4 linked regions of the Lonchura striata genome follow. The protein of the gene in region 1 purifies or fractionates together with the protein of each later gene. This does not show direct contact. Links are inferred from orthologs where the notes say so. Each region holds a gene or a part of one and is shown in the gene's direction. Other genes may lie near its edges. The genes, in order: COPS7A, DDB2, DCAF11 and COPS8.

Evidence for each region.
Region 2: the proteins of COPS7A (region 1) and DDB2 purify together in Homo sapiens (affinity purification with mass spectrometry; 5 studies listed by BioGRID and IntAct, counting the BioPlex papers as one, with this or other methods). This does not show direct contact. The link is inferred for Lonchura striata from reciprocal best matches to the Homo sapiens genes COPS7A and DDB2.
Region 3: the proteins of COPS7A (region 1) and DCAF11 purify together in Homo sapiens (affinity purification with mass spectrometry; 3 studies listed by BioGRID and IntAct, counting the BioPlex papers as one, with this or other methods). This does not show direct contact. The link is inferred for Lonchura striata from reciprocal best matches to the Homo sapiens genes COPS7A and DCAF11.
Region 4: the proteins of COPS7A (region 1) and COPS8 purify together in Homo sapiens (affinity purification with mass spectrometry; 11 studies listed by BioGRID and IntAct, counting the BioPlex papers as one, with this or other methods). This does not show direct contact. The link is inferred for Lonchura striata from reciprocal best matches to the Homo sapiens genes COPS7A and COPS8.

Annotation. Positions count from the first base shown.
Region 1 is NC_134604.1:29,610,993-29,617,901, forward strand, and holds the start of COPS7A (COP9 signalosome complex subunit 7a), read left to right. Parts: upstream 1-3,898; 5' UTR 3,899-3,934; coding exon 3,935-4,096; intron 4,097-4,175; coding exon 4,176-4,251; intron 4,252-4,712; coding exon 4,713-4,801; intron 4,802-4,875; coding exon 4,876-5,078; intron 5,079-5,541; coding exon 5,542-5,647; intron 5,648-6,000; coding exon 6,001-6,152; intron 6,153-6,286; coding exon 6,287-6,326; 3' UTR 6,327-6,352; intron 6,353-6,490; exon of another isoform or gene 6,491-6,634; 3' UTR 6,635-6,909.
Region 2 is NC_134608.1:39,083,793-39,090,921, forward strand, and holds the start of DDB2 (DNA damage-binding protein 2), read left to right. Parts: upstream 1-4,121; 5' UTR 4,122-4,234; intron 4,235-5,137; 5' UTR 5,138-5,149; coding exon 5,150-5,321; intron 5,322-7,129.
Region 3 is NC_134641.1:644,507-651,973, reverse strand, and holds the start of DCAF11 (DDB1- and CUL4-associated factor 11), read left to right. Parts: upstream 1-4,457; coding exon 4,458-4,464; intron 4,465-7,055; coding exon 7,056-7,165; intron 7,166-7,467. Other genes in the region: uncharacterized protein LOC110481942, read left to right, coding at 654-783, 1,835-1,901, 2,023-2,045. UniProt on the Homo sapiens protein: May function as a substrate receptor for CUL4-DDB1 E3 ubiquitin-protein ligase complex.
Region 4 is NC_134610.1:38,283,967-38,291,878, forward strand, and holds the start of COPS8 (COP9 signalosome complex subunit 8), read left to right. Parts: upstream 1-4,909; 5' UTR 4,910-4,983; coding exon 4,984-5,061; intron 5,062-5,854; coding exon 5,855-5,925; intron 5,926-6,674; coding exon 6,675-6,723; intron 6,724-6,896; coding exon 6,897-7,029; intron 7,030-7,823; coding exon 7,824-7,912. UniProt on the Homo sapiens protein: Component of the COP9 signalosome complex (CSN), a complex involved in various cellular and developmental processes.

The DNA of each region.
Region 1 (6,909 bases):
GGCTGATTTTTAAGTGTAATCCCTGTGTGCATTAGCCCAGTAGAAACTAAAGGGTTAAAAGGCTTCTGTATCATGTTGGTATCCAAGAGAGTCCTGCCAGCCTCCCTTGTCCTTACAGTTTGTCTCAGAGTCTGTGTTACACACAGTTGTGAAAAATCGTCTCATGAGATGTGACTCTGCTATGTTTGGAGAGGGACTGGTGAAAAAAATGTCTTCAGCGTTTTGACAAGTTATTTGGATTCTGTGGTGGTGAGGAAAGGAACAACCTAGAATGAGCCCATACAGCTCTACAGCTTTAAAGTGGGACAGTGAGCACAGAGGAAAGTGGATCTATAGCACAAAGAGAATGGAGATTTCTTTCTGTAAAGATCAGAGCAAGATCAGAAGAGAGGGATGATGCTAGGGGGTGGTTACAGCTAGGATCAGAAATCCCAAATATTCGGAAACAACAACACAGAACGTCTCCGTGTCACAAGATTTATCTTAAAATTATGAAATGTCGTACAGACTTGCTTTCATCTGCACTCTTCGCCTCCTACTTTCGGCTCTTTTGGTTACATGAAAATCACATTTCACAGTTTCCCCGTGACCATAAAGATAGGTGTTTGCTTTGTGAGGAAAGCAAAAACACAGAAGTTACTGACTCCAGGAGGCTGGGATTTGATTTCAACACCCAGCATTCCCATCTAGGGATGAGGCCAAAGTTTTGCTACGTTGTGGAGATGTTACCCATGACTTTTGCACTCGTGAAGACAATGACCTTCTCATTTGGACAGCGCAGGATCTGAGTCATTTGAAGCACCTTCTGGTCTTTGCCCTTGATGCAGGATAAAAAAGGAGCAGACAAAAACATGGGGAGCCAGCACACAGCACATAGGAACTGGGGCCAAAGTGGAGGAGACAGAGAGAGCATCAATGTAGCTAGGATGCTCAGGCTGCCAGGCTTTATCTAACTAATAATGAAAGGCAGCAAGCGTGTCAGAGAGTGTGAGAGAAACAGATCGATAGAGAGATAAAACTGAGATGGAAGGAGCCGGCAAGGGGGTGGGGAAGAGAGTAATAAAACATTACAAATCGGCAGGGTTACGTTTGAACCTGATTTGAATGCACCCTGCACTGGTGTAAGTGAAGATAGGAGGTGTGAGGCTACGGTGGATCTGGCCTAAATACATAAAACAGGGAGGGAAAAGCAGGGAGGAGATGGTGCCCTTGTCAATATTGCCCTGTAACCTGCCTTCACAGCTCTCAGCCAACCTTACCTGCCCTGCCTCTCCTTTCATCTTGCTGTTTGCAGAAGCCCAAATATTGCTGGCTCAGAGAATACAGACTGATAGACTTTCCTGCTCCCCTGAAGAAATGCCTGTTGTGTAAAATGTGTCTTGGTCCCATTTTACCTGACTTGAGCATAGGAAACACTCCTTACTATTTTGTTCATTGAGGACCCGGGGTAGCTTCCGACAATGCCCTGAGCCACTGGATGTGAGGCACTTGCCTAGGAGAGCTCATTGACTGTGCCCATGCTCAGTTACCAGTGGAAGATAATCGGAGAAGTTTCTTTGCTCAGCTTCAGGTTTTTTGAGGCAAAGGAGACTGCGACATCTCAAAGCTAAAATGGTCAGAGCACATAAATGAAAATGTGCCCTACAAGAGCAGGACTGAAGGTTTGGGTGCCTTCCGCTCTCAGGGCACATGTTTGCTTCTCTGGCCCAGCACTCAGACCTGTTTTGCTCCTTTTGCCTGGAATTGGTTTTAAGTGCTGTCCATTTAATCTTCATGGCATGATCATTAATGTTAGAAGTTCAGTTTTTCACACTGACCATTGCTGTCCACACTGTTCCCTCCTTCTGTCAGTAGCCTCAGTGAGGAGACCAAACACTGAAGAGGATGACCCTGAGAAGGAGTAGTGACAATCCCTACAGCTGTACAAATGAGCTTGGGAGACAACAATCCAACCCCCAAGGCAGCCACAGGTTATGTTTTCTAGATCTGAAATTATGTTTGGAGCAGGATTGTACCCCAAAAGAGCCTTCTCCATGACTCAGCCACAGCAGCTGCGTGAAAAGAACTAGAGTCAAAGCAAGAGAAGAGAGTTGTTGATACTGGCAAGTAAAACCTTAACAAACATAGACTTCACCCAGATGAAGATTTCAAGATGTTACACTTATTTCAAGATGTTGCACTTACAGAAGTCTGGCAAAGCACAAGTCAACTGCCTTTAATATGTGCTAAACTGATCCAGCTGAAGACCAAATCTCTTGCTGGCAATTACGTGCTGGAGTGCAAACTTGCCCTGATGGCTCTACGATTTTAACGTCCTAGAACCGTGCTACCTGCATAGACTGTATCGGCCTCCCAACAATTTGTTGCCTACTTTTCTTTCACGGAGAATCACTGTGGGTTTCTGAAGGAGCCAGGCAGGAGGAAATTCGTGATGCACTGGAAACTCTTGGCCAAACAGCTTAATGTTTCTTATTGAAATGCACACTGACTGCACTCCTCCCAGTCCCCCTCTCAACTCACCTCTGCCTCCCATGTGATTTATACAAGATGAGAAGAGCTCTGAAGGTGTGGGTGTTTTTTTCCCCAAATGACCCCCACTTTTTATTCTTTCTCACCTGGCACAGGGAACTGTGCCCTCAACAATGACCGCATTGCTGTAACTCACACACCCACGAAGATATACTTAAGGTGCACTATAAACATTTCTATCCTTGTGGAGCATTTAAACTATCTTTTTATGGCCATACCCTGCCTGCATCAGGGATGCATTTCTTGACAAGTGCAATGGTTAATGATTCAGCAGATAGTAAAGTCATTTTTTGGTAAAAATTAATGCAGTAGAGGAGGGGAGGCATGCAGGGATTTGAGAAATGCACAGCTTAAATACGTAAGTACAGTGCTTTGCAACATAAGATTTTTTACATTTACATATCCCCAAAACACTGCCGAAAATAGTGAGATCTTAATGGTGTGAAAGCAAAAATGAGAGCGATGTGTGTGGGCACACACAAGGTATTCTATGCACCTCGTTCAATTCTGGTGTGGTGCTTATAGAATAGATCATTGAGATGTGAAAAACACCATGCCATATAGTAGTGCATCTGTTTTCCCACCAGTTATTTCAACATTCATCATAGAATCACAGAATGGTTTGGGTTGGAAAGGACCTTAAAAATCATTTTGTTCCAAGTCCCTGCTGGAGGCAGGGAGGTGTGCTATTAGACCCCGCTGCTCAGAGCACCATCAATCCTGGCCATGAACATTTCCAGGTGTAGGGATGAAGAGTAGATATTCACCTGACCGGCAAGACCCAAAAACATGTGGATATTCTTCTGGCATTGATTGCCTTGTTGGGACACACCTCACGATGGCTGAGCAGCCTGGGGGAGTTTTGACAGAGGACGGGTCATGAAAAATAAGAGAACAGTGAGCAGACGTGGCTGGTGAGCGGGGCAGGGCATGAAAAAAGCACAGAACGGAGTTGAGGGCTGGCTGGTGCCGAGGCTGGGGACCAGCAGGTGGCCGGAGACCGCAGCCTGTGCTGGCCCGGGGACATGAACGCGCCGTGGCAGGATGACGAGGGCGGCCGTGGGTGGCCGGGAACGGCCCGGGATGGCCGGGAATGGCCGGGAACGGCCCGGGATGGCCGGAGGTTGCGGCGGGACGGACGGGACGGCGGCGGGACGGACGGGGCGCAGCGCTCAGCCCCGCCAGCGGGGGGCGCCCTGGCGGCGGCACTGCGCCGCCGCGCGGCGCCCGGCCCGGCCAATGGGGAAGCGGCGGGGGCGGGACAAGCGGCCGGCTCCGCCAATGGGCGGCGGGTGCGCGTCAGACGCGGAAGCGGGCGGTGCGCGGGGCCGGCCGGGAGCGGCCGGGCCGGGGCTGCGGGGGCGAGCGAGCGGCCGCGCCGGGCCGCGCCGGGCCGGGCCGGGCCATGGCGGCCGAGGGGAAGGTGACGGGGCAGAGCCAGGAGCAGTTCCTGCTGCTGGCCAAGGCGGCCCGCGGCGCCGCGCTCGCCAGCCTGATCCACCAGGTGTTGGAGGCCCCGGGCATCTACGTGTTCGGGGAGCTGCTGGACATGCCCGCCGTCCGCGAGGTGAGGCGCGCCCGGCCCCGCGGCCCCGCCCGGCCCTGCCCGCGGCCCGGCGGCGCCGCCTGACCCTGTGTCCCCGCAGCTGGCCGACAGCGAGTTCTCCCCCGTGTTCCGCCTCCTCACCATCTTCGCCTACGGCACCTACGCGGACTACCTGGGTGAGGCGGCGCGGGCATCCCGGCCCGGTGCTGGGGATCCCGCGGGGGGAACGCGGGGCGCACAGGGCCTCCCTCCCTCCCTCCTTCCCTCCTTCCCTCCCCGGCAGCCAGGCCGAGCCCCCGGCACGACGCTCTGTGCTTTGGGCCCTGCCAAAGAGCATCCCGGCAAAGACGTTTCTGAGGGGCCGGGGCAGAGACTTGGATATCCATTGGGATGTGCAGACCCGCGTAAATAACGCATGGGACAGCTAGAAAGGCTGAGTTGAGGGTGGCAGAAAGAAAGGCTGCTCAGAAAAGGTCTTTTGAGCTGAGAGTTGATGGGGATGGCTTGGCAAGACGAAGCACCACTTGGGGGATTGGTGTGGAGATGTTTTAAGAGACGGGTGTGGTACAGATGCTTTTATGCAGAACTGAGAAACGAGGCATAAATTCCAATATCCTGTTCTTTCCCCTGACAACAGCTGAAGCAGCAAACCTCCCTCCCTTGACAGAGGCCCAGAAGAACAAACTCAGGCACCTGTCAGTCGTCACTCTGGCTGCCAAAATCAAGGTAGTGGCCCTGTTTTTCCCCGAGTTCTCCCCCACTGGGATTATCTTGTGCTAGTTACCATCGTGTTTCCGCAGTGCATCCCCTACTCAGTGCTGCTGGAGCAGTTGCAGCTGAAGAATGTCCGGCAGCTGGAGGACCTGGTGATTGAGGCTGTGTATGCAGATGTGCTTCGAGGGAGCTTGGATCAACGGAACCAGCGCCTGGAGGTGGATTACAGCATTGGGAGGGACATCCGGAGGGAGGAGCTTAGCACCATCACCCGCACATTGCAGGAGTGGTGAGGAGGAAGCCCCCAACCCAAAAAAGGTTGCAGGAGTGGCCAGTGGCTTCCCTGGATCCTTTGTTGCTAAGGGTGGGTGGTGTTGGGAGGTGACCTACTTGATCCCCTTTCCCGTACTCCAATGGAAAGTAATTTTCCAGAAATAACTTCCCAAATCCCCCTGTTGTGTCTAGAGGGGTGATGGGGACGCAGCAGCCTTTGTACAGCGCTGGCTGCTGGCAGGAGGCTTCCTGAGTGTTTATCTGTAGTTCTTAACCCAGCATGGCTTTGTTACCTGTCCCCCTCCCAGATAATAACATAATTCCCTGTGTTATTACATCAGACTCCTGCCCCTTTATCTTCCCTGCTTGGCATAGCTGCCACCTCCCAGTGTTTTTGCAGTTGAAATCTGCTGTCTTTCACATTTCCATCCATGCTGTGCCAATTCCCTGGCCTGTTCAGTTGTGGGTCTCCTCTCCAGGTGCCAGGGCTGCGAGGTGGTGCTGTCGGGCATCGAAGAGCAGGTCAGCCGGGCCAACCAGCACAAAGAGCAGCAGCTGGCCCTGAAGCAGCAGATCGAGAGCGAGGTGAGTGGGTGCAGCAGGGAGCAGCCAAAGCCCCTCACCTTAAAACAACTAGAGCCAGTACCCTGTGCTTGTTAGAGGCTTTGCTGAAGTGAGGCATTGCCTTTTCCCTAGGTCAGACCCCCCAGGGACTTGTGACTGAAGAAGAGTCTTAAATCAGCTTAATACTCTTCTGCAGTGCAGGGGCCTGGACAGATGTTGGCTCTTTTGCTTGATGTGAGCTTGCAGCTCTTAGCTCCAGGGCTTCCTTTAGAAACAAATTTAAAAAAAACCCCAAATTGCAAATAAAAAAGCCCGTAGCTAAAAAGTCCCCAGCTTTGGGAAAGCCATTAGTTCTTACTTTGCCACTATTGCAGGTGGCAAACCTGAAGAAGACCATTAAAGTGACAACAGCAGCCGCTGCAGCAGCCACGTCCCAAGACCCAGAGCAGCACCTCACGGAGCTCAGGGAGCCGGCCCCTGGCACCAACCAGCGCCAGGCAAGCAAGAAAACCTCCAAAGCCAAAGGGTGAGCACTGTGGGCAGACAGAGCCCGTGTGTGTGGGAACACTTCTTTCTGTGCACTTAGGAAGGAAAGAAAATATGAACCTGAGTGTGCACTTTGAACTTTTATTTTCTTTTTTTTTTTCCCTGTGCCCACAGGCTCCGGGGCAGCACGAAGATTTGGTCTAAATCAAACTAGTTGGATCTCCCTTCACAACTGGGAGGGTGAGAGGAAGAGATATGGGGGATGGAGGGGTAGCAGGGTCCCAGGCGTGATTGCTTCTGAGCTCTTCTCTGAGATCCATCTTGCCAACTAACTCTCCTGCATGTTTGTTCTCTTTTCTTTCTTTACCAACCTTCCAGGCAGTGTCTCCCTCCTTTTCATCACACTCTGAGCATTTCACACTCTGAGCTTGAGGTTGTACATGTTGCTGTTTCCCCAGCCGCTCGAGCCCCCGTCGCCACGGCCACGTGTTTCTCTCTTTCTCTCTCCCTGTCTTTTGACAGGTCGATTTCAGGAGCCGTAAAGGTGTGACAGTCACCTTGGCACCCCCAGGGCATCACAAGAGCTTGGAAGGAGGGTGCTGGTGCACAGCAGTTGTTTTGGCTCTGTGAGACCCCCTGGGATACTTTGCTCCAGGACACCATCTTTGATTGTTTAATCTTTGTTTTGCTAGGTGGGAGGGTAGTTTTTGAAGGGATTCTTTTAAAAAAATATATAAATATATTATAAATATATATAAAACAATAAAAATATAGATCTATGGACATATCTATACAAA
Region 2 (7,129 bases), on another chromosome or scaffold:
ACGCTGCTCGCCGCGGGAAGGCGGCGCCGGGACCGGGACGGGCTCCGCCGCCAGGACCCCCAGCACCCCGCAGGGCACAGGTCCGAAAAGGCGGCGGGCCCGCGGAGCGAAGCCCACAGCAGCGAGCCCGCCGCTTACCTCGCAGGCGGCGCGGCGGGACGCTCAGCGGGCAGCGGCCACCTCGGGGAGGGGCCGGCTGAGCCCTCCCCCTACTTCAGCCGCGGGACTCGGGGGTCCCGCCCCGCCTCCAGCGGCTCCCGCGGGGCGGGCCCGCGCTCGGGCTGCTCCGATGGCAGCGACGGAGCCGCTCCAGCACAGCTCCCGCCTCCCGCCCCCGCCGCCCGGCCCTTGATCCAATTAACGGGAGCGGGCTCTGCCCAGGCAGGTGGGGTCGGCAGAGGTGCCGGGAGGGCAGCGCCGGCTCCCGTTGTCGTTCTCCCCTACCTCCACGTTGGGAAGGGCTGCAGCTGTGGGATGCGGAGGGGACTGAGGGAAATCGGCCTGGCTGGGATCCCCCTCGTGGCGGGGTCGGGAGGGAGACAGCTCTGGGAGGAGCTGCCCACTCGGCCCAGCCCCGAGTTCGGCTCCTGTCCGTGAGTTCGTTCATCTGTGTGCTGTACCGGCCAGCTGACGTGCAGGGCTTGGAGCCCCCCTGCTGTTGGAGCAGGAGGTTCCCCAAGGCTGATTTCCACCCAAGTGAAGTGCTGTGGTCTCTCGTGTGAGAGTGGCATGGGTCACTCTCCCTGGGCTTAGAGGGTGGCATCAGTTCACCTTGGCATCCGTCTTTCTCGTTCAGCCCGATCTTGCAAACTGCTTTCAGTCACTCTTCCATTTCTCTGAAAACGTCTATCTGAATAATTTGGACGTCATCTTTTAAATCCCTGAGTGCAATATCCCCTGGGCCAGGGCTTGCTGGCGGAGCGCTACCAGGCCTTGCTGGCCCGCCTTCTCTTGAAGTCACTGCTTCCAAGTGACTTGGGACATAATTCCAAGGACCAACTGTGGGTTTGTAGTGATGTTTATTCAATTGGTGGAAAAAGGAAAGACTGAGAGCCTTGCAGAAGAAAGAAAGGAAAGAGCATGCCATAAATCTTCCATTTCTCTGCAGCAGTACTTAGGTGTTTTGCCTTTCTTTCCAAGTGCCCTAGATTTCATAAGAACCAGAAAATAACTGTGCTGATGCCCTTCATATACAGTGAAATTTTGTGTTAGAAAGTGGACATTAGAAACCATTCCACTTAATTTCTTCTGAGACCAATCCTCTGTTCACCTTTACCAGCATAGGGTCTCTGGAAGGTAGACACCCATGACAGGTCATTGCCTATGGGTGTCACTTGTAAAAAGTGAAAAAATATGCTTGTCTTGTCCTTGAAGTTAATCACAGCTGAGAGTATAAGCAACTTTGTCTTTTACTAAAACAAAACTGAACCCTATTCTTTGGCACAGATACTCCCTAATTCAATTAAGTTCTGCATTTTTGATTTCTGTTATCAAAGTAATGTACATTAATGAAGGTCAGAAAAGGCAAGCTCCTGTCATCCATTAATAGTCTATATCCAGTGTTTGCCCGGTGTTATGTTTGCATGCTGATTTCTAGATTGCTATCTCATGTGCATCTAAGATAGCATGTCTAAGACAGATACTGCCCATGTGGGACTTGGCCACCACCAATACTGATTGCAAGGTGAGAGTATTAAATAGCATGGCTGTTGCGATCCTGTCCTCCAAGGCTGGAATGGCTTGGGGGAGATAGGGTGCTTTCGTAAATAAGCCCATAATGATAGTGATCTTTTTGTTCATTTTCGTGGTATGGGCAGCTTAACAATGGCCATGGAAGAGAAGGAGGTCAAATAGCATGATATTTACTCCTTCATCTCTTGGGTTTTATATTTTGTTTTACTTTTTCATGGAATATAGGCTTGTTTTCATATGCATGGCAAACTCTAGTTGCTCTAATGATATATACATCAGTATATATAATTTATATATTTGTATATGATTTATACATTTGTATATAACTGTATATTTAGCTAAGGTGGCAAAATTATTCATGCTTTGGACAAAGGTCCTGGAAACAAGGAGGCAGAACACCTAATGGTATTATTACTACCATGAAACTGATCTTAGTTTCAATATAGCTTCACCGGATCCAGTGATAAGACAACGTGATTCTGTTGGAGAGAACCATGTCCCATAACTGAGGCAGAACCTCAGCATAATTGTACATCAGAGAACTGGCAGAATAAAATAAACCTAATATCCTGCCCATGCAGAATTCTATTCCTCTTTGTTGCATACTGCAATTCTAAGACACTGTAAATACGTCAAAGAATATTTTTTCAAATTAGTCTTTCTCTTGCTCAGAGTACCATCCAGACACTGAGCTGTGGGACATCAGGCCAGTGGCATTTTTCTGTGCATGAACTGTGTACTGTCTGTTGTTCTTACCCTTAGTGGATAATTATTACAAAAATATCTCGTGATTCTCCAGAGAGAAATCAAACTTGGTGTTAGTCATTGACACAAACACTCTATTTAGCATGTGACCTCATCTTGAGTACTTTGTGCAGTTCTGAGACTCAACATTTGAGAGTGGTGTTGAAGTCCTCGATTGGTCCGGAGTCCAGAGTCTGGCTTGCCTAGGTTGGAGAAAAGCATGCTGAGGGAAGACCTCATGGCTCCCTACAGCTTCCTGAGAAGGGTAAGTGTAGTGGGAGATCTGATCTCTACTCCTGGGATCCAGTAATAGGATGCATAGGAGTGGTCTGAAGCTGTAAAAGGGTAGGCTTAGACTGGACAATAGGAAGCATTTCTTTACAGAGAGGGTAGTGAAACACCGGAACAATCTTCCTAGAGAGAGGTGGTGAATGCACCAAGCTGTCAATTTTTAAAGGCATTTGGACAATGCCCTTAATACCAGGCTTTGACTAGGTCAGCCCTGAACTGGTCAGGCAGTTGGACTAGATGTTCATTGTAGGTGCCTTCCACAGGCAATAGCCTTTTCTACTCTTTTCTAGTCTATTTCATTTCTAAAAAATGCTGTGATAGCTCCAAGATGGAAATGCGTAGGTTACACTGGTTTTTGCTAATGGGTACAGTTCTAAGACAAAAGCTGTATATTATAAAAGTGCCTGTTGAGACTCTAAGACTTGCTAATTGGTTTGGTGTATATGTCCAAAACCAGATTGTATTAGTGATTATCATTTTTGTGTATGGCATTCTGATACAGCAAGTAATAAAACTTTGTTACTGTTCAGGGAAAGAGCATAGAGACTGTTTGTTGTTTTTCTGGGGAATTTTTCTGTGCCTTTTCTAGTATGTGAGAAAATCCATAGGTAACTGTAGTTATAGCGCAAAAAATAGTAGCACGTGAAACCAAACCCTACAGAAGGCATGGCTATGTACAGCTATTTCAGAACCTGTGTTCATAGCCTCCTGTGTGGATGACTGTACCTTAATTACTCAGCATAGTTACTGTTAGGCCTGAAGCCAGGGACTTCACTGCTTCAGAGATGAGGGATAAGGTTCCCCACGGCCGGCAGACAGCAGCCTCCTTTGCAGGTGCGAAGTGCTGGTACTTCCCTTTCTGTTGGTAGAGCTCTTCCTTCCCCATTCTTGTCAGCTGCACCATGTAGGATCTAGTACTCTCTGAGCTGCTCTCGACAAGACTTTGTTATCAGCTTTTGAAGCACCTTTTGTTGTTGATGGTGTTGATGCTGTTGTTGTTGTGTTCCAACACCAGGTGAGTTTTCTTGTGGAAATGATGTTTTGATTTGTTTTGATTGCCGTGTTTGGGGCTTTAATAGGCCAATTTGGTGCTCTACAAACTAATGAGGGGCATATGATTTTACGTGCTGCACCAAATAAACAAGAGGCAGACAGACGGACCGCGCGTTTCAGGCCGGCTCGGCCCTCGCAGCCGCCTGTCGCTGCCGGGGGGCCGGAGGCGCTGCTCATGCGGATGGCCGGGAGGCCGGCAGGGGTAGGGGGGGGAGGCGGGCTAGGGCTAGACAAGCACGCCGAGCCCTCCCCGGCCTACCCCTGTCGATGGCGCTGCCCCTCAGCGGGGAAGGCTGGCGGGGGCCGCCATGGCCGGCGAAATCGGTGCCGCTCCGGGGGCCGGGCCGAAGCCGCTGCCCCCCGTTCCCGCCCCGGTTATGAAACCGCGGGGGAGGGGCCAGTGCCGGCCGCCGGCCGCGGCGGCGCCGGGAGAGCCGAGGCCGCGGGAGCGCAGGTGAGAGCGGGGGGGCTTTCCGCCCGGGCCGCGAGGGCCGCGGGCCGCGCCGGGGGCTGAGGGGAGGCCCCGCCGTGCCCGGAGGTGCCGGAAGCGGCAGCTGCCTGCGCAAGAGCCTGCGCGGTGCCCGCCGAGCTGGATTTAACAGATATCCGTGATGGCCATTCAGGAATTCTAAACGAGCTCAACGTGAGCGCAGGCTCAGCCCAGGGATGCTGTGCGGGAAGGTGCTGCGGCTGCGGAGGGCCTTTGGCGCACGGCCCGCTGGCTGCAGAGAAGGCCGTGGAAGGCCTGTGCTTTTCCTCAGGGGCCTGGTGGCGTTGTGGCCGGCATAACCCGGGACACGAGTCGCTGAATCTCACCGCCGTTAGAAGAGCAGTTCCGGTGTGGCTGCCAGGCTGTGCACGAGCTGAATCCAAATACCAGGTGGTGGTTGTGAGGAAAAGTGGCCACTATGCAGGAAGTACCTTCTGAGCCCATTTGTTGCAAGGCCAGTCAGCCCTGGCCATCATCATAAAAATTCTGACCTTTTGCTTAGCTGAATCTAAAGAGCTCAGTGTGAGCTACCAGAGAAACAGTTAGGGGATTATGTGGTTTCACAGATGTACTTTATGCAGATCTGTGGGTTTCAGGCTTAAAAGTCTAGTAGAGGCACATCTGTCAAAACATATTCTAGTGCTCTAGGATACATTCATTTTCATATGTGAACAAAGAAGATTTTATTGAACCTGTTCCTCTCTTCAGTAGAGAACAACAAAAAGCTAGTGTCATCCCAATGAAAGAGGATACACATCTAATCACTACGTTCGGACTAACTGGGATATGTTCCATTCCACTTTTCCTCTCTGTCCTCTGGTTAGAAGTGTATGACAGTCTTACCTTCCATGCTTTGCTTGCTTTCAGTGGTCAGGCAGAATGGCTCCAGTAAACCAGCCAAAGGACAAGAAGCGTGAGAGGGCATGTCAGCATTGGCCAGAAGAAGCAAAATCAGCTGGGAAGAGGAAACGGGACTATGGAGAACGAGGGAATGAGAAACAAGAAAAGAAGTTGTTTGTGAGAAAAGCATCTAGACCCTCAGGGAAAATCGGTAATATTTCCTCAGATTCTTTCTCCCTACCAGATTTACTGCAAATGACAGGCATTTACTAGTTGAAGAGAAAGAATGCCAAGAATCATGTTCAGACATGAGTGTTCAGATGATGTTAGATGTTGAAGTAATAGGCAGACTTGTGTTGGGGTAGTACATCCTCCAAGTTTTTGTCTAGTGAATGTGTGTGCATGCAGGAATGTTTGAGACTATGTACCCCTTGATAAAAGCCTGAAGCACTGAAGATGCTGTTACAGCTCATTTGAGGGTGGTCAAGTTTTATAGAATTCCAGTATTACCAGATCTCTGCTTTAGTGTCAGACAGACCAGTCTTGGTAATAAATTCTTACTCTCATGCAATTCTGAATACAACTGTTAGTTTAAGTGTTGGTGTCCTACAGCATCCAGTCTGAGCTGGTATTTGAACCCCATTCTTTCCCTGTTCTAACTTTTGCTACAGTAAGTATGAATACTTTCTACCTCTGTTCAGATTATAAAGGACAGAGTTTCCTCTAATTTCTTCTTCTCATGTGCATTTTTTTTCCTTTGGTGACTAACTTATGAGAAAGACCAAATCTTAAAGAGTTTTGATGTAATGTGGAGTTGTGATTAATTTCTAATATACTGGAAAGTTTAATGCTTTGCATATATTGAGGAAGTTGTCCAGACTTTACCTACAGCGATTTCATAGAATTATTTAGGTTCAAAAAGACCTTTAAGATCATAGAATCCAATGGTTTACAACTCTTTCAGTGAAGAAATTTTTCATGATAGCAAATCTGAACCTCTCCTGGTGTAACTGGAGACCCTTTTGTCCTTCCTCTCACTTGTTACTTGAGAGAAGCGACCAACTCCCTTCTTGCTGCAGTATCCTTTCAGGTGGTTGTAGAGAGCAATATGGTCTCCCCTCAGCCTCCTTTTCTCAGACATAACTTTTAATTCCATCAGTGGTTTAGGAAATCACTAGGGTTACTGCCTTATGTGGAGATACTATGTGTTTTCTGTACAATTTTGGCTTAAGGATCCAGAAATTACTGAAGTCTTTTTCAAAAGTCAGAGATACAGGGGTTCTATGATTTTGCACATTTCCATTGTGTGATCTGTAAGTCCAAACTTGGAGGAGTTAGCAGAGTGAACAGTAACTGTGGAGGCAAAATACTCTGTTTGAAAGGAGTTCCGTTTATAATTGTAGATAGTTAAAACATCTTCTGTAGTTAATTTAGCTACATGATTTTATTGTAACTTTGTGACCCGATTTTTGTATTTGGTAAGAATCTGCCATTCCTGTAAGATACTTCAGAAAAATGAGGCTAATCATATTTTCCCTTAACCCTTTCTTAAAAAGATGAAGACCTTTCTATTTGAGATTTCCCATTCTGTGTTCCAGTTTGTTTGTGTTTGGAATTTTTTTTTCTCCTGATCCATATAGGACAGTTTCCATTTCTTACAATTAAACCACCTTTTTAGAGGGTTTCTTTCAGCTGATTCTAAAAAGGCCTGAAGCTTTGTTTCTTAATAAACTATCCTTAATTGTAAAATAGAATCTGAAAAAAAATACCTCAATTTCTGTCACCTCTGAAGAAGGAACTGTGGATACCAATTCTTTAGTGAAAAAAAAAAAAAGAAATTAGAATAGAAATACTTTTGTACCTATTTCAACAAGTGTGACAAGTGTTCTCACTATGTGAACAAAGAAGTGTGCTTTTCTCCATCATTGCATTAAAGAAAGATTTAATTTAGGTTGTAATCATATAGGATGATCCACGTGTTTTCAGTCTTCTATGTTTGTTTTCTTTTTAATGTGTGTC
Region 3 (7,467 bases), on another chromosome or scaffold:
TTTGGTCCATTTTTGGGTAAATTTGGGTGATTTGGTTCCCTTTCAGTGGATTTTGCCCAATTTGGGTCAGATTTTGGGGTAAATTTGGGCGATTTTGGTCCATTTTTGGGTAAATTTGGGTGATTTGGTTCCCTTTCAGTGGATTTTGCCCACTTTGGGTCAGATTTTGGGGTAAATTTGGGCGATTTTGGTCCATTTTTGGGTAAATTTGGGTGAATTTGTTCCCTTTCAGTGGATTTTGCCCAATTTGGGTCAGATTTTGGGGTAAATTCAGGTGATTTTGATCCATTTTTGGTTAAATTTGGGTGAATTTGTTCCCTTAGAGTGGAATTTTCCCAATTTTGGGGTAAATTCAGGTGATTTTGGTCCATTTTTGGATAAATTTGGGTGATTTGGTTCCCTTTCAGTGGATTTTGCCCACTTTGGGTCAGATTTTGGGGTAAATTTGGGCGATTTTGGTCCATTTTTGGTTAAATTTGGGTGAATTTGTCCCCTTTCAGTGGAATTTTCCCACTTTGGGTCAGATTTTGGGGTAAATTCGGGTGATTTTGGTCCATTTTTGGGTAAATTTGGGTTATTTCATTCCCTTTCAGTGGATTTTGCCCACTTTGGGTCAGATTTTGGGGTAAATTCGGGCGATTTTGGCTCCGCAGGCGCCGCTTTGAGGAGTCGATGCTGCGGCGCCTCAGCGCCCCCTGGCGGCCGCCAAAGGGGGCGGGGCCAGGCCTGGATGACGTCACCAACCTCGGGGCGTTTCCCGCCCTTTTGGGAGCGGCCAATCAGGTGCGGGGGGCGTGGCCTGGGGGGGAAAAGGCGGGAAATGGGGGAAAAAGGCGGGAAATGGGGGAAAAGGCGGGAAAATCAAATTTTTGGGTCGATTTTCTGGATTTTTGGGGCGGAATTCTTTGGGAATTTTTGGGCTGAATTTGGGGGATTTTGGGGGTCAATTTTTGGGGAATTTCGGGTTGAATTTGGGGTTTTTGGGGGGGATTTTGGGGGATTTTGGGATGGATTTGGGTTTTTGGGGTGAATTTTGGGGGATTTCGGGTTGAATTCGGGGTTTTGGGGGTGAATTTGGGGGATTTTGGGGTCATTTTTTGGGGAATTTTTTGGGGTCAATTTTGGGGGGTTTTGGGCTGAATTTTTAGGGAATTCTGCGCTGAATTTGGGGGATTTTGGGGTCAATATTTGGGATCAGTTTTGGGGAATTTTGGGCTGAATTTGGGGACTTTTGGGATCATTTTTGGGGAATTTTGGGGTCTACTTTTCGGGAGTTTTGGGGCAAATTTTGGGCAGAAATTGGGAAATTTTGGGTTGAATGTCGGGGGGGTTTTAGGATCCATTTTTGGAGAATTTTGGGGTTAATTTTTTGGGGAATTTTGGGGTTAATTTTTTGGGGAATTTTGAGACAAATTTGGGGGATTTTGGGGTTGAATTTTTGGGGAATTTTGGACTGAATTTCGGCGATTTTAGGGCCAAGTTTTTGGGAATTTTCGGGTCAATTTGGGGGAATTTTTGGATCAATTCTGGTCATTTTGAGGCAGAATTTTTAGGGAATTTGGGAATTTTAGGGTCAAGGTTTGGGGAATTTTCGGGTCAATTTTGGGGAAATTTTTGGATCGATTCAGGTTATTTTAGGGCTGAATTTTTAGGGAATTTTGGGCTGAATTTTGGGAATCTTAGGGCCAAGTTTTGGGGAATTTTTGGGTCGATTTTGAGGAATTCTTGGGTTAATTTGGTGGATTTTGGGGCGGAATTTTTGGGGAATTTTGGGCTGAATTTGGGGGATTTTGGGCTCCATTTTGGGCCGAATTTGGGGGATTTTGGGGCTCAGGATTCGTCGGAGCCGCCGCAGAAAAAGAGGAAGAAACAAAAATCGGGGAAGAAGAAAGGGAGGAAGGGTGAGTCCGGTTTAAACCGGTTCAAACCAGTTTAAACCGGTTTAAATCCCTTTAAACCGGTTTAAATCCCTTTAAACCGGTTCAAACCAGTCCAAACCAGTAACTCCCAGTTCCCCCCCAGGTTTCCGCCGCCGCCGCCGCTGATCCTCCAATAAAGATCCGTGATTTTCTGCCTCATTTGCATCTCATTTGCATTTCTTTCCGCCTCGCCAGGGGTGGGGGGAGGGGGTTTATACTGGGAGGGGAAAAAAAAACCACAAAAAACCCCCCAAAAAATCAAAATTTTCCCCAAATTTTTGAATTTTTTTCAATTTTTTCCCCAAATTTTTTTTTCGATTTTTTCCCAAAATTCCCATTTTTGTCCCTGAAATTCCCCCCAGTTTTTTTTTTTATTTTGGGGATATTTCTCCCAAATTTCACCTTTTTAAAAATAAAAGCTGCCCAAAATTCCAAAAACCTTTTTTTTTTGACATTTTTTTTTTTAAATTCCAAATTTCCTCCCGATTTGCGCTGGAATTTTTGGGTTTTTTTTAAAATTTCCCCCACAATCACATTTTAAATCGATTTTTTCCCCAAAATTTCTCCTTTTCCCATTGATTTCCCCAAAATCTGCTTTTTAAATCCGTTTCCCCCCAAAATTCTGATTTTTTCACCTATTTTTCCTCAAACTTCCTCAATTTTTGTTATTTTTTCCCAAAATACTCCTCATTTTAAATGGATTTTTCCCCAAAAAAAATGTTTTTACTCTTTTTTCCCCAAATTTTTACCATTTTCCTGATTTTTCCCCTAAATTTCCCAATTTTCCACAAATTCCCCCAGTCTTTCTCCTTTTTCCCCAATATTTCCCAATTTCCCCAAAATTCCCCAAATTTCTCCCAATTTTCCCAATTTCCCCCAAAAATTCCCAGAATTTTCTTTTCTCCCCAAATTTTCCTTTTTCCCCAATTTTTCCTCATTTCCCCCAATTTTTCCTCATTTCCCCCCAAAATTTCCCCCCAAATTCCCCCAAATTTCTCCTTTTCCCCCAAATTTTCTCTTCCGAAATTTCCCCATTTTTCCCCATTTCCCTCAAATTTCTGAATGTTTCCCCAAAATTTCCCCTTTTTACCCAAATTTTTCCAGGTTTTCTCACAAAATTTCTTTTCCCCCAATTTTTTCCAAATTTCCCTGAAATTCTCCCAAATTTCTCCTTTTTTCCCTAAATTTTTTCTTTTATTCCAAATTTTGCCCAAACTTTCCTATTTTCCCCTCAAATTTCCCATTTCTCCCATTTTCCCCTTTTTTCCCCATTCTTCCCATTTTCCCCATATTTCCCAAATTTCTTCCTTTTTTCCAAATATTTCCCTTTCTTCCCAAATTTTCCCCAATATTTCCCCATTTCCCCAATTTCCCCATTTTTTCCCATTTTCCCCATTTTTTTCCCCAAGATTTCCCCATTTTCCCCAATTCTCTACATTTCCCACATTTTTTCCCCGCTTTTCCCCAATTTCCCCCAAAATTTCCCCATTTCCCCCATTTTCCCCATTTTTCCGCATTCTTCCCATTTTCCCTATTTTTCCCAAATTTCTTCTTTTTTTCCAAATATTTCCCCTTTTTTCCCAAATTTTCCCCCATTTTCCCCCAATATTTCCCATTTTTTCCCCATTTTCCCCCATTTTTCCCCAAATTTTTTCTTTTCTTCCCATTTTTTCCTCATTTTCCCCAAAATTTTCCCATTCCCCCCCAATTTCCCCCATTTTTCCCCATTTCCCCCATTCCCCCCAATTTCTCCCATTTTCTCCCATTTTCTCCCAATTTTTCCCCATTTTTCCCCATTTTCCCCCAAAATTTCCCCATTTCCCCCCATTTTTCCCATTTCCCCCCAAATTCCCCAAATTTCCCCCATTTTTCTCCATTTTTCCCCATTTTTTCCCCATTTTTCCCCGTTTTTCCCCAATTTCACCCAAAATCTCCCCAATTTCCCCCAAATTCTCCCATTTTTCCCCATTTCCCCCCATTTCCCCCCATTTTTCCCCATTTTTCCCCATTTCCCCCCAATTTCTCCCAATTTTTCCCCAATTTTCCCCATTTTTCCCCATTTTTTCCCATTTTTTCCTATTTTTCCCCATTTTCCCCAAAAATTCCCCATTTTTCCCCCATTTTTCCCATTTTTCCCCAAATTTCCCCCATTTTCCCCCCGTTTTTCCCCAAATTTCCCCCAAAATTCCCCATTTTTCCCCCTTTTTTCCCCTTTTTTCCCATTTTTCCCCATTTTTCCCCATTTTCCCCCATTTTCCCCCATTCCCCCTCTCCACCAATCCCCGCCTCCCTCTCATCCCGCCCCTCCCCTCTCCACCAATCCCCGCCCTCCTTCCATCCCCTCCCCGCTCCCACCAATCCCCGCCCTCCTTTCCCCCTCCGCCAATCAGCGCGCTCCCCCCGCAGGCCACGCCCCCTCCCCCCTTACCCCACGTGTCAATCAGCGCGGGGGGGGCGTGGCTCGCTGCCTGCGCGCTGATTGGCGGAGGCGGCGCGGTGGGCGGGGCCTAACCCGGAAGTGGCGGCGCGGGGGGATCCATGGGCGGCAGGAGCGGAGGGGGGGGAGGGGAAAGGGGAGGGGGGGGGAGGGGCGGCCCCGGGGGGGGGGGAGGGGCCGGGGAGGGGGAGGGTGGGGAGGGGGGGGAGGGGCTGGAGCTGCCGGAGCTGCGCGCGCTGCTCAGGAGGTGAGGGGGGGGGAAACTGAGGCAGGTTCGGGGTGGGGGAGGGGGTTTGGGGGGTGGGGGAGGGGATTGGAGGGGTGGGGGAGGGAATTTGGGGGGGATTTGGGGGAAACTGAGGCAGGTTTGGGGGTGGGGGAGGGGATTTGGGGGGAAACTGAGGCAGGTTTGGGGGTGGGGGAGGGGATTTGGGGGGAAACTGAGGCAGGTTTGGGGTGGGGGAGGGGATTTGGGGGGGATTGGGGGGAAACTGAGGCAGGTTCGGGGTGGGGGAGGGGATTTGGGGGGTGGGGGAGGGGATTTGGGGGGTGGGGGAGGGATTTGGGAGGGATTTGGGGGGAAACTGAGGCAGGTTTGGGGTGGGGGAGGGGATTTGGGGGGAAACTGAGGCAGGTTTGGGGTGGGGGAGGGGATTGGGGGGGATTTGGGGAAACTGAGGCAGGTTGGGGGTGGGGGAGGGGATTTGGGGCATTTTTGGGGAATTTTTTTGGGTTTTTGTTGGGAATTTTAGGGAATTGCTTGGGGAAATTTTTGGAATTTTTTGGAATTTTTTTGGGAGATTTTTGGGCATTTTTGGGGTGAATTTTGGGGTAAATTTGGGTGAATTTTGGGTAAACTTTGGTTAAATTTCGGGTGAATTTTGGCTGAATTTTGGTGTGAATTTTGGGTGAATTTTGGCCATTTTTGGGCTGAATTTTGGCCATTTTTGGGGTGAATTTTGGGTGAATTTTGGGTAAATTTTGGCTGAATTTTGGCTGAATTTTGGGTGAATTTTGGGTAAATTTTGGCTGAATTTTGGCTGAATTTTGGCTGAATTTTGGCTGAATTTTGGCTGAATTTTGGCTGAATTTTGGCCATTTTTGGGTCATTTTGGGGGGAATTTTGGCTGAATTTTCGGTGACTTTTGGGTGAATTTTGGGTGAATTTTGGCTGAATTTTGGGTGAATTTTGGCTGAATTTTGGCTGAATTTTGGCTGAATTTTGGCTGAATTTTGGGTCATTTTGGGGGGTATTTTGGCTGAATTTTGGGGTGAATTTTGGGGTGAATTTTGGTGAATTTTGGGGTGAATTTTGGCTGAATTTTGGCTGAATTTTGGCTGAATTTTGGGGTGAATTTTGGCCATTTTTGGGGTGAATTTTGGGTGAATTTTGGGTGAATTTTGGCTGAATTTTGGGGTGAATTTTGGCTGAATTTTGGCTGAATTTGGGCTGAATTTTGGTGAATTTTGGGTGAATTTTGGCCATTTTTGGGTCATTTTGGGTGCCTTTTCTCCAGGGCCGGGCGGGGCAAATCCCGGAGCCGGATCCGGACTCAGACTCGGACTCGGAGCCGGAACCGGAACCGGAACCGGAACCGGAAGCGGAAGCGGAAGGGGGGGGAGGGGCCCCGGAGGCCTCCAGAGGTGGGGGCGGGGCTTAAAGGGGGCGGGGCTTGAGGGGAAAGGGGCGGGGCTTAAAAGGACCACATTTAAATAATGGGGCGGGGCTTAAACAAAGGGGAGGGGCTAATAGGACCTGATTTGAATAAAGGGGAGGGGCTTAAACAAAGGGGAGGGGCTTAAGGTGACCTGATTTGAATAAAGGGGAGGGGATTAAATAAAGGGGAGGGGCTTAAGGTGACCTGATTTAAATAAAGGGGAGGGGCTTAAACAAAGGGGAGGGGCTTAAAGGGGCCAGGTTTAAATAAAGGGGAGGAGCTTAAATAAAGGGGAGGGGCTTAAAGGGGTCGAATTTAAATAAGGGGAGGGGCTTAAACAAAAGGGAGGGGCTAAAGGGATCTAATTTAAATAAGGGGAGGGGTTTAACTATAGGGGAGGGGTTAAAGGGGCCTAATTTAAATAAGGGGAGGGGCTTAAATGGGCCTAATTTAAATAAAGGGGAGGGGCTTAAATAAAGGGGAGGGGCTTAAAGGGATCTAATTTAAATAAGGGGAGGGGTTTAAATAAATGGGAGGGGCTTACATGGATCTAATTTAAATAAAGGGGAGGGGCTTAAATAAAGGGGAGGGACTTACAGGGATCTAATTTAAATAAAGGGGAGGGGCTTAATGTAACATAATTTAAATAAAGGGAGGGGCATAAATAAGGGGAGGGGCTTAAAGGGGAGGGGCTTGCATTGATCTAATTTAAATAAAGGGGAGGGGCTTAAAGGGACCGAATTTAAATAAAGGGAGTGACTTAAATAAAGGGGAGGGGCTTAAATGAATCTAATTTAAATAAAGGGGAGGGGCTTACATGGATCTAATTTAAATATGGAGAGGGGCTTAAATAAAGGGGAGGGGCTTAAAGGGGAGGAGCTTAAATTATCTAATTTAAATAAGGGGAGGGGCTTAAATAAGAGGAGGGGCTTATATGAGGGGAGGGGCTTAAAGGGGGGGGGAGGGGCTTAAAGGGAGGGGTCAGGGTTAAAAGGGGCGTGGCCTGATCTGAGGCCCCGCCCCCTTTCCTCCCCCCCCCAGCCGCCCCTCCCCCCCCCGGCCCCGCCCTGCAGGAGCTGCGGGCGGAGCTCGGGGGGGGCGGGGCCGGGGCGGGACCCCCCGAGCGGAGCCTGCCCAGGCTGGTGCGGCAGGTGGGGAACTGGTTTGGACTGGTTTGGACTGGGAGGGCACCGGGAGGGGGGAAAACGGGGAGAAATACGGAAAAACGGGGAAAAACGGTGGAAAAACGGCAAAAAAAGGGTTAAAAACGGGGGAAAAGGGGTTAAAAATGGGGGGGAAAGGGTTAAAAATGGGGTTTGGGTTACTGGTTTATACTGGGAGGGACTGGGAGGGGGGAAATGGGGAAAAATGGTAAAAACGGTTAAAAATGGGGGGAAATGGGGAAGAAAGGGTTAAAATGGCCAAGAAAGGGTTAAAAATGGGGTTTGGGGTT
Region 4 (7,912 bases), on another chromosome or scaffold:
GCTCGCCCGAACACTCGCCCGCTGCCCCGGTGGCTTTGGCGGGGGACAGGTGTTTGTTAACACGCGTGCCATCACGGGGGATTAGCGGATTTAAAAGCGAGCCCCGGGAGACACGGCGGTGCATCGCGCTCCTGTTAAAAGGAGGGATGCTGAGCCGCGCAGGGAGGTTTCTGCAGGAGCGTCTGCCCCTCTTTCACAGGAGAGGGAAAGGAAGAAGCCCCTGCGTTCACAATGTGAGTCCTGTGCATCGTATCCTGGTGGAAGGGCGTGGGCTGGAGAGGGGCTTCTGCACAGGGATGCTCCGTCCTGGAAATGCCCCAGCTGGAGCAGGGATCACTCACTCCATCCCCCGAATGCTCCCTGACTGCACCAGGGACCCTCCCCAATTCATACCCTCCAACATCCCTGCTGGACCAGGGACCCACCTGCTCCATTCCTCAAATGCCTCAGCTGGAGCAGGGATCCTCCATCCCCCAACCACCCCGTGCTTGACCCGGGATTGTCCTACTCCATATCCAAAAATATCCCATGCTGGATGCTTGATCCCACCCTACAATGGACCAGGAATCCCCACGCTCTCTTTATCCCCTGGAATTTGGGGGTTTTCAGAGATTTCCAAGCGAAGGAACTGCAAGGTGGGGGAACAGTCAAGAGAAGAGCTGTTACATTGCTTAAAGGTACCACAGCTCCTTTCCATGGAGGATTAAAATATGTGGAGAGCAAGAACTGCTGGCCCAGGAGCCAGGGAGGGGACAGAAACTTGGCTGAGGATCCCGGAGAACAAAGCAAAAACAGGAAAATGCACAGACAAGCCTGGAAAGTCATAAAAACAAAGTTTAGGTTAAATACACAGAGGGTCTCTTATGCCCTTGGCAGGTTAATTAAAGGGCAGCTTTTGCCTCCAGAGCCTGTGGCAGGAGCCATCGCTCCTGGTTACTCACAGAGAAGACAAGAGGAGGGGGATGGAGGTGTCTGGGGTGGACAGAAAGGAGCCCAGCCAGCCCCAGATCTCAGCCCTAGGGGAGATTTGCCCCGGAGCAGCAGCAGGAGGACACAGAGCCCCACAGGCAATGACAGCTGGGTGGAAAAGCCTCATCACTTCCAGCTACTCTGGTCACTTTTTGGTCTCCTACATATCCTCCAAGCTCCTCAGCCTCTCTGATTTAGGGTTTGTTTTTTTTTCTTTTTACTTCATAGAATCACAGAATTATAGGATGGTTTGGAAGGGACCTTATTTAAAGCCCATCCAGTTCCACCCCCTGCCATGGGCAGGGACACCTTCCACTATCCCAGGTTGCTCCAAGCCCCATCCAAATCTGACCTTGAACACTTCCAGGGATCCAGGGGCAGCCACAGCTTCTCTGGGCACCATGTGCCAGATATTTATACCACTGTGCTGGAGTATAAACCTCTAGAATTGAGACCTTGGGTGTAAGCTGAAAAATCAAGGGTGAGGTCAGCAAAACAAACAAACAAAAAAAACACACACAAAAAAAAAAAAACCCAAAAAAAACCCCCAAAAACCAAAAAAAAAAACCAAACAAAAAAAAACCCATAATATCCCAAATATCCCAGATAGCTTCTTGTTTATTGGAGTTGAAACCAACGTCCCTATGGACATGCAATAGATTGAAAAGCTTGTTTGGGGAAAAAGCAATGATAATTTCCCACCAGCCGCTTGCCATTTCCTTTCATGGGCACAGCTCCTAAAAACGAGGCATTTTCCCCTTTGATGTCATGGAAGGAAATAACCTTCCGTGTTTGGATCCAGCCTTTGCTCAGATCAACCCAGCTATTGCCAGTCAGGCTGTTGAGGGAATGGGAAGGGCGTGGGGAGGTTCATCTTGACCCTTTAGCACCATTTTCTTTAACTTTCACATTAAATTACTGTCCTATTGTTCCATATCGCCCCATTGCATCCTAATTTCCCCACCACGAGTCTTTTGTTCCTCTACAAAGCTTTGGAAGCAGATGAGAAAAGGAAACCACTTGCAATCATCTTTCCAGAGGGTACCTCCAGATCACAGGCAGCAGCACATGGAAACAACTGGGAAAATTAAGCCCTGTCACGAAATGTCTGTTAATTTTTCTTGGAAATGCCTTGGTATTGCTTTGAAAGCTACTGGGTCTGTCCAGGATGGCAGAACTGGGATCCATTTCCCTCCCTGCTTTAAAATTCATGCAAGGCACAAACGAGTTGCTGAGATTTTCCTGCCATCATCACCAGGAGCTGAATAAAAATCACATTAAACTTACTTTACACTCCTGCAGCAGCCAGCGGCCACTGTCTTTAAGTGCTTTTTGAGCCTGTGGGCCAAAGAAAAATCAGGATGCTGTCAAGTCAAGGAGCCTTCCTGTTAATTTAACGTGGTTAGCTTTGCCAGTGGGATAGATTTTCCAACGTGCTCAGCTGTTTTATGAGTCTGGCCTCTTCTTTTGGTGTCTGAATTGAGGAGAAATTCCTGAGTGAAATAAATGACCTTGTGGTTTTCTGAGATGCTGGCTCAGGCAGCTGCCATCACCGTCCAGAGGTCCTGGGTGATGCCACCACACTGAGGTCAGGCTCCAAACAACGCCAGGAACATCTTCCACACCTCCCGGATTTATAACAACCCTGAAAATACAACAAATCTGCTGTATTTTTTCTTGGTGACTCAAAAAGAAGAGTATTCCCTTCTGGCATGTTTCCTCCCTGAACATGTTGCCACAGCCTTAAATAGCTTTGGAAAAGGGGGGAAAAGAGAGAGGGGAGGATGCAGAACATGCTTGCAAAAGGGTAGGTTCTGGCTAATTCCCTGCCAAGGAATTGCTTCCAGAGAGGGGCTGGTGCATTTGGGAGGCTTGGCTCAGCAGTGCATGAAGCAGCACTTCTTCTGTTGTTCCGAAAGAAAAATGAAAAGCAAAACGAAATGTTAAAAAAATAAAGAAACAAAAAAAACCCAACAACAACAACGAAAAACCAAAACAACAAAAAAAAAAAGCCAAAAAACCCCCTAATTCCCCCCAAATAGAAAGATTCTCTCGGGTGGAAGGGACAGCGGGATGTTTGGACGTCCAGTTTCCTTGGATTTTTAGGCAGTTTCTCTTGCAGCTAGTGCCCTCTTGAGGAAACCTCTCCTCTATTCTATTTTTACAGGGTTTTTTTCCCCCGGATGAAATGATCTCCCGGCGGGGAGCAGGAACATGGTCAGGGGCTGCGATTCTGCCCCGGCCCAACACAGCCAGCGGTGCCGGGGACCGGCTCACGCCTTCCCACCTGGACCCACCGGGAAGGAGGATGGCATCGGGATGTGGGATTGCAGCCCCCAGGAGAGGAATCCTTCCCAATTCAACGTGTTCCCGGTGGCAATCCGGGATGCTCTGACCCCATCCCCGCGGGAAGGTCCCCCACCGGCATCATCACAAGCTGCCGCCCTCTTTGCTCCCCTCCTCGCCTCCCGAAAACACGAGATAATTGGGAACGGGAGCAAAAGGTGAGGACAGTGCTCCTCTCAGATGTCCGAATGTCAAAGCGACGCTGGCACAGAGCTGGCGGCTACAAAGGGCCGTCGGGATCGATGCGGCTGGCGGGGACGGCAGCGGGATGAGAGGTTGCTTCCCGGGAAAGTGATGCCTGAGCCGGCGGAGCAGCAGTGCCATCGCCTGGACCCTCCTCCAAGATGCTGTGCCTCAGGCGAATCCTAAAGTGAACACAAACACACGTTAATTTTGTTTTTCCACAGCCAAAACCTCTCCCGCAGCGCGGGGACTCCGTGGCAAAGGGATCAGGATTTACCCCACTCTTCTTTTTTTCACCCCAAAAGTGTGGAGGACTCACGAGTTTCACAGCGAGGTGGTGCAGCTCTTGAGCACGGCTTGGGAAAATTCCCTGCGTGAAGGATAAATGGCTTGGGGAATGATTTTTAGGGCAGTGCTGGGGATGGAGGATGGTGGAAGCGCTGGGGTCAGGCTTTGTTCAAGGAATATGGAGAGGAGGATGATGATGGAAAGCAAACCCGTTGTACCAGAAAAGGAAAGTTTTGCAGAAAATGAGCCCTTCGGGCTGATTTTACCCTGAAAATATGAATTTACATCTGCGGCCCCAGCAATACCACTGATTAGGATATTGGTGCTGCATGTTGGGAAAAGCGTGAGCTCTGAACAGGCTCCCCGGGGAATGGTGACATTCCCAAATCTGCCAGGGCTTAAGGAATGTTTGGACAAGGCAAAGGCTGGGATTGCTGGAATAGGTGTCTGTGCAGGGCCAGGGCTGGACTTGGTCCTTGTGTTTAACCCAGGGTACTCCATGCCTATGGCCTGTCTCCAGCAGCCGGCAGCGGGTTTCACAGGAAACAAAGATAAAGGAACCCAACTGTAAAAACTACTTCTAAAGCCCAGCACCAACAGGTACAGAGCTGGAAAAGCACTCCCTACCCCTTGAGAACAACCCTTACGTACATGCAATAAGGGATGTGCAATAAGGGATGGAGGGCGTCCGCCTCACGCAGCGCATAAATGCGGCAGATACGAAGAGAAAACCGTATTGCACGCCAGGCACACTCATTTCTTTATAGGGCGCGGAAAGTTGGCTTGTCACACAGAAAACAAAGGGATTTTAAAGGGCTGTAACCGCGGCCGCCCTCAGGCGCCGCGCGCCCCCCTCAGCCCCTCACGGGCTCGGCCACGCCCCGTATTGGTCACGCCCCGGATTGGTCACGCCCCCGGATTGGTCACGCCCCCGGATTGGTCACGCCCCAGCCACGCCCTCTAATTGGTCACGCCCCCGTATTGGTCACGCCCCCGGATTGGTCACGCCCCCGGATTGGTCACGCCCCAGCCACGCCCTCGGATTGGTCACGGCCCCGTATTGGTCACGCCCCCGGATTGGTCACGCCCCCGCGGTCCTCCAGGAGCGCCGAGAGGCGGGCGGGAGGCGCGGAGGGGAAGCGGAAGTGACGTCATCGCGCGGCGCCCGCTGCGGGCGGGCGGCGCCGTGAGGGGAAGATGCCGGTGGCGGTGATGGCCGAGAGCTCGGCGAGCTTCAGGCGGCTCCTGGAGCAGTGCGAGACGCAGGAGCTGGAGGTGCCGCGGGACGGGGGGCGGGGAGGGGTCTGTGTCCGTGCGTGGGAGGTGGACAGGGTGCGTGGGAGCGGGGGAGGGCTCAGTGTTTGAGCTTGCCCCTTGGGCTCGCCAGAGAGCCCGTCGGAAAGTAGCACCTTGCAGATAAATGGGTGTTTCCGTATTATTATTCGCGTCGCTTCAGAGGGAATGGAGGGAGTGGTGGAGTTTGTGGGTTTCCGTCCTTCTCGTGGCTGAGAAAATGAAGGTATCGATCAGGGGAGTGCAGCCCTGAGCCAGGCTCGTGGAATTACCCTTAGAACGAGTTTAATGTGGCAGCTTTCACTGGGAGCTCCCTCTGTGCTGCTTTACGGTCTGTTGTCCCTTGATAAAAGGCCCGAAGCCTCATTGGAAATCTTTGCAGCTTTCAAATTTTTTCACCTTTTTTATCGCTCCTTTATTTCCTCCTTGCGAGCGCTGCTGAGGTGTGGCAGGGGCCGAAGCTTAACTCGAGGTTCTTGGGAGGGACGGAGAGGCTTTGCTGTGGTGGAGTGGCCTGAGCTGAACGTAATCGAAGTGGGCGGGTGATTTAATTTCACTTTCAACAGCTGCAACTCCTATGAGCATAGGAAGATGGAGGCTTATTTATTCCCCCCCTAGAAAATTGCAAAGACCTGTTACATGATGTGAGAAAAAACATAAATAAAGCTCAGTCATCTTGGGAGTGTTCAGTTTATGTAAAACCTGGCTTGGTGCTGCGTTTTGTATCACATCCCCCTTTAGAATCTGCAAGCCAAGAATGTGTGTGTGTTTTCAGGCCCCTGGAGGAATTGCCACACCCCTGGTGTATGGCCAGCTGCTGGCTCTGTACCTGCTGCACAACGACATGTAAGTGGCTTGTCCCAGCCTGTGGCACTGGCTTTGTCACCAGCACGTTGGGAATGGGCTCTGGGATTAATAAAAATGTTGGTTTTATGGAGAAATAATAACAATATTCCCAAGAATCGAGTCTCTTTCACCCCTTGATCTGTCAAGAAAGCTGTTCTCCTTTCCTGTGTGGGAATTTGGGAATGCAGTTCCTTCAGTGGTGAAATTGGCTCCTCTGGGAAGTGTTAAACATTTCAGAGATTTGTTTTGTAGCTCTTCAGGGCTGCATTTGTTTTAGGTTGGATTTGGGGTTATTATGGATTTATTGGTTTGTTTTGGGTTGGATTTGTTCCTTCTGTTTAAATTCCAGCAGGATAACTCTGGACCATCCCTGTTAAACATGAGTGTTACTATTGGCTTGAAGGAGCTAAATCTGCAGGAATTCCTGGGAATTTGGTTTGGGGGGGTTATTCCATGTCTCTGGGTGTACTTAATGCACTAAACTTGAGGTTTTGGGGAGAAGTTGCTTTCCCAAACTGGTGTTAAATGAGGCAATTAAAGAACTGTTGGTTGTGTTACAGCAGTGCAGTGTTGTCTGCTGGAGAGCAGCTCTGCTTTTCCCACTTCAGTATCCAATATTCCTTCCTGGAAAGAATATTTTTAAAGCACTGAGAATATTCATTATAGCATCTGGACAAACCTTGTGGTGTCTTTTTGCTGCATATGGTGACTGAGAAGTATTTTTCGTCTTTCTATTTATTTATTTTTAGGAATAATGCACGTTATCTCTGGAAAAGAATCCCTCCTGCTATCAAATCTGTAAGTATTGGGCCAAATTTACTTCAGAAACCTGCTGGTTTTGTTGCACAGCAATGTTCTCTGAAAATATGGGGGTGGAAATGGGTTTTTGCATAAGGATTTTCTTCTGGATTAATACTGGCTTTTGTTTTTGGTTTTTTTGTGGTTTTTTTTTTTTTTTTTGGTCACAACAGGCAAATGCTGAACTTGGTGCAGTTTGGTCAGTGGGACAAAGAATCTGGCAGAGGGACTTCCCAGGAATCTACACAGCAATCAGTGCACATCAGTGGTCTGAGACTGTCCAGCCAATCATGGAAGCACTCAGAGGTACAAGCTGAGCAGGGAATTGCCTGGAATTATTTATGTCTGCTCCAACAGAAGCAAATTGTCAATTGTGAAAAATCAGGACAACTGTTGCCAAGTTTTTGTAGGTTTTACTAAAAGGTTTTCCGGTGTCGGGTGTAAATAAATAGCTCTACAAAACCTTGTAGAAACAAGTAAATTGGTCTTAGTAGGATTCTGTTTCTGTGTATTTTTTGACACTGGATTTTCATAAACCATGTGGTTTGTTCTGTAAGAGCAAAACAGACCATAAATCACCCAGTTTTATCAGACTTCTAACCAGGGAACTTGGCTTGGCATTTCAGAACCTTGTAGGACTTAGAAAGTGGTTTTTCAGTGAAATGTTTTCCATCTTGTGTAATGGTAACATGCAGATTCTTGCTCCTAGAGGGCAGTGCAGACTGCTAAAAAGAGGTGTTTTGCAAAACAGGTTCCCTAAAACTGCTTTTTAGATGCCACTAATTAGTAACTAATTGCTGGCATATTGCCATCAGAGGATGCAGAGTTCCCTGAAGTGCTTTACATGCTGGTGGTGCAGCCCAGGATGCTGCAGGCTGCGCTTGGAAGTTCAGTGTAGGCTCTGAGGGGCTTTGTCCTGGCAGAGAACAAGCTGTTGTCTCTTGCTGCTGACTGTGAGCTGTGGGAAGGGAGGGGGAACTCCTGAAATGCTCACTTGAAGGCTGGTAGTGATTTTCCAGAGGTGGTAGAATTGAGGAAATGTTCTCAGCTTTCCCAGCTCTGGAGATGAGTCTCTTGTGTCCTGTGTTCTCTCTCCCTAGATGCAACCAGGAGACGAGCCTTTGGACTGGTTTCCCAGGCTTACACATCAATAGTTGCAGATGATTTTGCAGCCTTTGTTGGCCTTCCT